Linked DNA regions of Drosophila melanogaster. The protein of the gene in region 1 interacts with the protein of each later gene in a pairwise test. Each region holds a gene or a part of one and is shown in the gene's direction. Other genes may lie near its edges. The genes, in order: Rab19 and GCC88.

The links.
Region 2: the proteins of Rab19 (region 1) and GCC88 interact in a two-hybrid assay, tested with the Drosophila melanogaster proteins (one study listed by BioGRID).

The regions. Positions count from the first base shown.
Region 1 is NT_037436.4:8,295,181-8,299,167, forward strand, and holds Rab19 (Rab19), read left to right. Parts: upstream 1-1,837; 5' UTR 1,838-1,909; intron 1,910-1,988; exon of another isoform or gene 1,989-2,031; 5' UTR 2,032-2,079; coding exon 2,080-2,292; intron 2,293-2,354; coding exon 2,355-2,439; intron 2,440-2,634; coding exon 2,635-2,891; intron 2,892-2,939; coding exon 2,940-3,044; 3' UTR 3,045-3,326; downstream 3,327-3,987. Other genes in the region: Arl5 (ADP-ribosylation factor-like 5), read right to left, coding at 3,571-3,987.
Region 2 is NT_033777.3:11,227,533-11,232,401, reverse strand, and holds GCC88 (GRIP and coiled-coil domain containing 88 kDa), read left to right. Parts: upstream 1-1,801; 5' UTR 1,802-1,952; coding exon 1,953-2,034; intron 2,035-2,087; coding exon 2,088-3,912; intron 3,913-3,980; coding exon 3,981-4,161; 3' UTR 4,162-4,231; downstream 4,232-4,869. Other genes in the region: Dph3 (diphthamide biosynthesis 3), read right to left, coding at 1-61, 134-208, 278-385; CG17187 (uncharacterized protein), read left to right, coding at 694-1,593; CG17726 (uncharacterized protein), read right to left, coding at 4,232-4,869.

The DNA.
Region 1 (3,987 bases):
TTTAAACGGCGCTTGGCAATCCTTGTGGTCGAAGGAAAAGCGCTTCTCAAACCCTCAATGGATTTTACGACTTTGGTTTTCGATTTTTTTTTTTTCGGGACACGATCCGACGACCGCGCGCGCAAACGTTTGAAATTCAACTGAAACGGCCAGCGGTCGAGGCGAACGATAAAAAGCAACGACGAACGGGCCAAACTTCAATGCAAAAGTGAGGCCGAGAATTCCGGGGCCTTTCAGGCGGCATCCAGGGGGAAGTAGTCGGGCAGAAGCTACCCGCCAGCCAAAACGGCAAACCAGTCAGCCAGGCCAGCAAAAAAAATTCGTTTGATCTGGTCTTTGTGTTTCTGAGGAGCTGCTCTGTGTGAAGTTGCAAATTCGCTGTTTGATTTCCTTTTGCTAGCGACGAAAATCTCAACATGCGGGGGAATGAAACTCTTCGCTGGGAGATGGGAGTAGGTCTAGCCTCGAGCATTTTCCAGCATTCCTGTGACTCATCGCCATCGTGAGGGCTATCCTGACTCGGAACTAGGTTGCGGTTGCAGCTCCAGGGAGCAGTCAATTAATTTCTCTTCAAAGTGTAACAAGAAAAAGTGCGGCAGATATATATGTAAATACACAAAAATACTAATATTGTAACTTTGTTCTATAGAATATAACCATTATAAGTATAAACTTACATACTAACAATTTTGGATTTCTTAATATCTTTAAATATAAAGATTAAACCACGAGAACACAATTGTTATAATGCTAATTTCTGAGATCAATCAGTTTTAGATATATTCTCCATGCTTTCCGACACTTAAGGATCGGTATAACCATTAGAAATGCGACTGATGATAGCCAGAGCTAAAGACCCTGTTTTTTGCCTGTGTGGACGATGTTCATCAGCATGGGGCTAATCGTGGGACAAGTTCTCGGCCAGACTTTGGCCCCCAGATCGGCAGTTAAACTTTCCACGCGAAATGGATGCGACAGTGCGTGTGCGCAGGCGCATCAGGCATGCGGTTTCCAATTCGTTTGGCAATCGAAGCAGTTGGTCAGCTTATTTGCATTCGGTGAGATACATAGAACATGTTTCCCAGCCGCTTCCGCTGCGGTTTGAAAGTGAGTCTCGTTTCGCTGCCTAGAGATAGAAGTTGATATGTGGGTCAAGGTCTGCATTTTGCGTACATTATTTTCATGGGGAAAACCCGAGGAATTTCTTCGAAACACATCGTAAATATTTACAGACCCATAAAGCCAGCTCTTTAGCGTCAAATGGCGCCATCATCAATGTACGTGGTGAAAATTTATTGGAGTCCCATGCGTTATCAGAAAGCCTGACCTACGTGATCGCCGCATTAATCGGGGCAAGTACCTCAATTCACATGGACTTACACGCAAGAGGGCTTTCCATTTGTGAGTCAATTAAATAAATTGTCAACATATTTAGTGCTTTATTGCGTAATGATAAAATCAGCCCAATAGATTTCCCTTGCTAATCCATCAGTGAGAGTTGGCATTTGCGATTTGGAAAATTGTGTAAATTCGTTTTGTCCAAATTTAAAAAGAGAAAATCCAATATAATAAAATAAAATTGTTTATTTACATTCCTTGGCCACTATTTTATTATAGATAACAATAATGAACTTTAATTTAACAATTCTAAAAAAGTAGAGTATGTGTAACTTGAACGAAATACAACGTAGCCATCCAAATATAGTGCAAATTAAATAAATCGTAATATTTTAAATCAGTAAAACATTTGAAAATACGCTTTCGATTTTATTTGGTGATGAGAAAACCTAACGGTCGATGTCACATGTAAAATGGAATATCGATATATGAGCTTCGCAGTATATATAGCAAGCTAAACAGAATAATATAAACTAAAATTAGTACATATAAATTAGTCAAATAAAAACCTGTAAGTAAAAGTATAGTATTATTTTACCCCTATATCGATAGGTCAACTATCGACTGCCAACAGCTGATATTGCGTATCAATAAAATTAGTTTTGCTTCACTTTGTTGTCATTGGAAAAGCAGGGCAGCAGGCAAAAGAGACCAGTTAACGGCCAGAACGGCGGCCAAAAGATGACCGCCCGCAATCCTCAGACACTGATGGCACTGCCAAACGAGGAACACTTCGACTTCCTGTTCAAGATCGTCCTCATTGGTGACTGCGGGACGGGGAAGACCTGCATAGTGGACAGATTTAAGACAGGGAACTACATAGAGCGACATGGGAACACCATCGGAGTGGACTTTTCGATGAAGACCATCGCCGTGGAGGGCAAACAAATCAAGGTGCATAACGGATTTGCCCAGATCCCGCCACTAATATGACTCATATTCTGCCCCTCTTCCAGCTACAAATCTGGGACACTGCTGGTCAGGAGAGGTTTCGCACTATTACGCAGAGCTATTATCGCTCGGCCAACGGGGTCTTAATTGGTGAGTCCCAGTATGGGTATCTTTTGTTTCGTCGGGCATAGGCATACGCCCATCCATTTGTCATGCCAAATAGGTACTACTGATAACCAGAGAACGCTTTAAAGTGATTGCCTGGCACTGATTTGAATAGCGAAGCGCCTTATCAGCGGGGTGTTTGTTTACCCTACTTGAATACCATGTGTTTCCTCCTGACAGTTTACGACATCACCAAGCGGTCTTCCTTTTCCAATCTGCAAAAATGGATCGAAGAAGTGCGTAGATACACTGCTTCTAATGTTTTGATAATCCTCGTGGGCAACAAGTGCGATTTGGAGGAGCAGCGCGAGGTGGACTTTGAAGAGGCGCGCCAGATGTGTCAATATATACCTGAGATCCTGTTCGTGATGGAGACCTCCGCCAAGGAGAACATGAACGTGGAGGACGCCTTCCGCTGCCTGGCCAACGAACTTAAAGTACGATTCCGGCTATTGTTACCTAAGCTAATGATGTTCCAATTACAGCGCCAACACGATGCCAACAATGTGGAGGAGGTGCCAGAAAACACCATCACCTTGGGCCAGGGAAAGCCTTTAAAGAGTTGCAGCAGCTCATGCAATCTCACCTAGACCTAAATCCGCTCTTTAGTTTGCTTTTACTTTTGTGATCAAATTGTTCTTGTGGCTATATATTAGTATTCTAATGCTTTAACCTAATCCTAGACACTAACTTTTACACAACCATGTATTTATTTTTGACGATAGAGTACAAACAATCTCACACATCAGCGAATCGAGCCAACAATGTCAATTACAAGGCAATGCTCAGAGAGGCAAATACGTCCACTTCTCTATTTGTAATTTGTATTCAATTTGATATGCGACAGTGTCGAAATAAACTCGTTTATTTTGTAATTTTATTGGAAGTATCGTAGTTAAATTGGCTTAGCTCCTAGACATTATCCATATACACGTAGATTTAAATCATCGAGGGACTCCTGTTCGGACGTATTTTACACTAAATAAAATTGGCTTGGCAACAACTTTTCAAACAATTTGGAAACGCTTAAAAATTGTTTATATCAAAATTGGTTTACTTTCTCTAGACAGCTAGTCGTTAATGATTAATTAGCTAATATGTAGCATGTGTGGCGGGTCATTTGTTCTTGATGCGCTGCACGATCCACTCTAATCCTTGATAGAGTCCTTCGCCGGTGAGCGCACAGCAGGCCTGGATGTGCCATTGGTGCTTCTTGATGGAGGTGAGGTCCAGTTGTCGTGAGATTTCCGCCGCCGACATAGAGCCCTTGAGATCCTGCTTATTGGCATAGACCAGCAAACTGGCCTTGCTCAGATCCTCATGTTGCAGCATCCGGTAGAGCTCTTCCCGCGTAACAGCTAACCGTTCCCGGTCCGTGGAGTCGATGACCATGATCACCAGCTCTGTGTTCGTGTAGTAGGTGCTCCAAGCGGCGCGCAGACTCTGCTGACCACCAAGATCCCAGACAAGAAAGTGTATATTCCGCCAGACGACCTCCTCCACGTTGGAACCGATCGTGGGACTTGTGTGGAC
Region 2 (4,869 bases), on another chromosome or scaffold:
TCAGGTCGCCGAGCTTCTCGTTCAGCGCACTTTCTTCATCCTCCTCAGCTTTGAACATCTCCTGAAATTCGGAAAATCAGATTGCTTGAGTTTTCTGGGGAGTTCTAGGTGTATTTCTGAATGAGTCACTTACCGGATCGTATATGACCTTGATGACTAGGGAGCAGCTGGGACAGGTGGCCACCTCCTCGCCCTCGATTAGCTCCTCCTAAAGTGGAAATTTACCAAGTGATATGGGGAGTCCAGAAAAAAAAAGGTTGCGTATACGACTCGTTACCTTGGAGATCTGAAATCGATCGCCGCATGGACAGGGATAGTAGTACATCTCCTCCTCCTCGTCGTACTCGAAGTCCTCGATCTCCACCTCGTCGTGATAGATGCTCATGACGTACCTTCAGCTTAATTCAGCGCCTAAAGGTCATATTATATTTGAGTTTTTTTTGCGATAACTTAGATTAATCCACGCCAAACAAATGGGCACGTTGTGTTGCGGGGCTGCCAACTCGTTGCAGCGAACAGCTGATCCAGTAAACAATTGCAAATGTTTTATTTGGACATTTTTGGACCGCCGGCTGCAGTTGTGAAATAAGTCTCGTATAAAATAGTATATTTTAGCTAACTTTTGCCCAAAAAAGACAAACTGCAAAACAAACCCATGTTCCAGTTGTTGAATAAGGAGTAAAATAAGACTAAATGGCTAGCAAAAAGTACAGTGACGTGAATCTTTACGATCTTCTGGGCATTTCTCTCGAGTCTGATCAAAATGAGATACGCAAGGCGTACCGCAAGAAGGCCCTCGAGTGCCATCCCGACAAGAATCCGGACAATCCGAAGGCAGTCGAGCGCTTCCATGAGTTGTCCAAGGCTCTGGAGATCCTCACGGATGAATCCGCGCGCGCAGCTTATGACAAAGTGCTGAAGGCCAAGAAGGCGGCGGAGCTGAGGAGTCGCCAACTGGACGGGAAGCGGCAGAAGCTGAAGCTGGAACTGGAGGAACGTGAACGGGCGGCACTGCACAAACTGGCGAAGAGCCAACCCTACAGCACGGTGGCCAAAAGCGACGAGGAGGTGCTGCATGAGCAGATCGAGCGGTTGCGACGCGAGGGCTCCCGTCTGCTGGAGGAGGAGCAGCGAGCCATGCAGGAGCAGTTCCGGCGGAATCACGCGGAGCAACAGAAACTGCAGCAACAGCCGGTCCAGTTTGATTCCGCCCAGCATCGCATCAAGATGAAGTGGAAGGCCGAACCTGGCCAGGATTACACACAGCAAGAGCTGCTCAAGTATCTGAAGAAGTACGGCGACGTGGTGGCCCTGGTGGTCAACAGCAAGCGACGCGGACGCGCCATGGTGGAGCTGGCCACGCGCGAAGCCTGCGACATGGTCTTGGCCTACGAAAAAGGCGATCCCGCCAAGCCGCTGCACTTCGAGTGGGTAACGCCGCCGGCGGCAGACAAGCAGACAACCAAATCGGCCACCACTGGGTGCAGTGCGTCATCCACCGACTACGAGGACCTGGTCATGCGAAAGCTGCGCCAAGCTGAGGAACGTAAGAGACTCATTGAGCAGATGATGAAGGACGAGGAGGGCGAATGAAATAAGATTTAGTTAGGCTCAACATTTAATTTACTTTAATTGGACTAATATTAATGTTTGAAAATATCTCAATTTAGCAACTATGCAGCTGATTTATAATACATTTACATTTAAAATAGTTTTTAATTTATGTAAATTTGGTTATTAATTATTTTTTGAAAAACCGCAAAAATAAAAAAAAGTTTAAATCAGAATGATGGCAATTTTTAGTGCCTGAGCAAACATGACAAGTTGGCAGGCCCGCGTGCCAGCTGCTGAAATTTGTTAATTAAAAGAAATGCAAAAATGACACGGGAGATAAATAAATTGAACTACTAAGCGAACTGAAAGTAAATGAACTAATTCCCTTTCAAGGCGAAATGGAGAAGCGACAGAGGGAGCTGGAGGCGCTGGTGTCCACCCAAAAGGAGCAACTGGGGCGCTATGAAAAGCGTCTAAAAGGTGAGACATAGATGAATTCGCAATGCAAATGGATTAATGAGCCCAATTTGTAGACGTGGTCACTGCCTACAAGGGTCTGCTTAAGGAGAAGGAGGCATTGGAGACGAGTCTGGCGGCGCATGCGGAGGCCACGGCGGTGGGCGAGTCCGGATCGCCGGCCAGGGAGTTGGAGTCCAAAAAAACCAGCACCGACTCTGCGGATGGAGCAACCGAGGGCGCTGCACCGGGTCCGCCTGCTCCCCCGGCCGAGGGTCAACTGCAGACCCAAATTATCACCCTGATGAACTCGCTGGCCACTCTTTCCGCTGAGAAATCCCGCATGGAGGCCTCCTTTCAGGCGGATAAAAAGCAACTGCGCAGCCAAATCGCCCAAAAGGAGCAGACCATTCAGGAGCTTAATACCCGGGCCAAGGAGCAGGCTGCTCGGGCCAAAAGCGACGTGGACGAGATCAAGGCCAAGTGGATCGTGGAGCGACAGGAGCGCGAGAAAGAGACCAACAACCAAATGCTCATGATCCGCGAACTGCAGAAACTCTATGCGGACGAGCGGCATCTAAAGGACAACATTGAGATGCAGTTAAACAACTTCAAGACCCAGTTCGCCAGCAACGAGGCAGAGAATAGCCGGCTACGGGAATTGCAATCCCAGCTAAAGGAGGCTCGCTCCCAGCTGAAACAGTTCCAGGCCAAGACCGAGCACTCTGCAGCAGCGTCAGCGAGTGCGGACAGCGCCGCTCTCCTTCAGCAAGTGCGCCTTGAGATGCAGCAACTGAAGGAGCAGCATGCAGTGGCCATTCGTCAGGAACAGCGTCGCGTGCTGCGTGCCGAGGAACAGAGTCGCAGGCAGGCGGCGCTGCACGAGGATCGCGTGGCCAGTCTAGAGGCACGCCTGGCGGAGCTCAGCACCACTGTCGGCAGCTACGACCGCCTGCGTCAGCAAGATCAGGACAGCATCCATGATTTGAAGCAGCAGCTGCAGGATCTAGAGCAGGCACATGTGCGTCCAACATCCAATTCAAGGGCGCTAAACGAAGATGTGGACGTAGCCACGCTGGTTGACGAGATGGTGCGCTTGAAGAAACTGCTTACCACAGCCAATGCCCGTTCTGCCAATCCACTGGATCTCGGGGAGATCCTATCATTTAGCGGCCAAACAGCTACCCGAGTCGAGAGTCACGCCCACTGCGAGCAACAGCTTCAGGGTGTGCAGCAAATGCTCGAGGCATCCAAGCAGCAGCGACAGCTACTCGAACAGAAGGTGCAGCTGCAGCACTCGCACATCCAAACGCTGCAGGAGAAGGTGCAGGTGCTCAATCGCAACATCGACGAGGCGGAAGTCGAACTAAAGCAGCAGGGCGAAAAGCTGCGCCTGGCATTGAAGAACGAACGAACCAAGTGGCAGGAAGCCAAGGCTGAACTGGAGAACGAGACGCGCTGCAAACTGAACGAGCTGGAACAGCTACTGCAGAAGCAGCGCCAGAGGTCACTGCAGCTGCTGGATGAGAAGGAGCAGGAGATTAAGACACTGCAGACCTCCTTCGAGGTCTTTCACTCGGCCAGCGGTGTGGGCAGCACACTGGCCACACCCACACTTGAAGCAGCTGCCGATTCCTTTCACTATTCCTCCGACACCGACAGCGTGGAGGGGGAGCAGCGGGAAAGAAAGCTAAAGGTGCGCTCCAAGAAAATGTCGATGGGCGAGAACTGCCACATGCTGCACTATGCCAACGAGTTGGCGCGCAAGGACATCGAAATCACGACACTGCGGAAAGCCAAATACGCCGCCGAGTCGACGCTGCGAAAGGCGATCCAGGACAAGGTGACATCTCAGCAGGAAATGCACGAGAAGATCGAGTGCCTCAAGGAGCAGGTGGACAGGTGCGTCGTTGTCGTTGTTATCGTTGTTGTCTTAGAAAGTCATGCCACGATCTCTACTCCCATTCTAGACTCGAACGTTGCAAGACGCGCGAGGGTGCCAATCTGGAGTACCTGAAGAACGTTATTATCAGCTACATTGTTACCCGGGACGCGGACGGCAAGCGTCACATGCTGAACGCCATCTCGGCGGTGCTCCAGTTCACCGCCGCAGAGATGCAGGCGATCAATGCATCATTCCAGAAGAAATAACATTCGTACTTTTGTTCAACAATCATGTGCAACATATTTAAAACCCTACAAACAGATCCTAAATAGATAACTAACTAAATCCGACGACTGGGTATTTGTCTAGGTGGGCAGCTAGCACGCCGGGAAACATGGCCAGGAACTTAAAGCGAGTGCCCATCTGGGCTGGATCCGTGAGCATCTCGTAGCCGGAGCGAATGATCTCCTGGTTTTCGGGCAGCGCATGTGCCAACAGTTGCTCCAGTCGAGCCTCACCCTGCATTCGCTGCAGGAACAGTCCCTGCTCCACGGGACCGCAGCAGTGGACATTTCCGCGTGTCTCGGCAATGTGCCGCACTAGCTTGAAGTCCACATCGGCCGTGAGATCAGCACTGCCCGGCTCCACCAGCGGATCGTGCAGCTTGTGCTGCTTGAAGGCCCGGAAAGTGTCGGTTTTCTCGCCAAAATGGCCATAATCCATGATTAGAGCGATGCCGCCATCCCGTTCGATGCGCTCGGCGAGCAGTCCCACCTGTCGTTCCGTCTCCAGGGAGTGCTCCAAACAGGATCGTGTCTCGCCGGGCAGCGGTCGATAAAGACTCGAAACGGGTGTTTGGCTACGTGAGAGCACATATCGGAAGCTAGCTTCTTGTGCGCCATCAGAGGATGCCACATCGATGAGCACCTCCTGCCACTTGCCATCTACGAGTTGGAGCTTGTGCACAGGCAGGG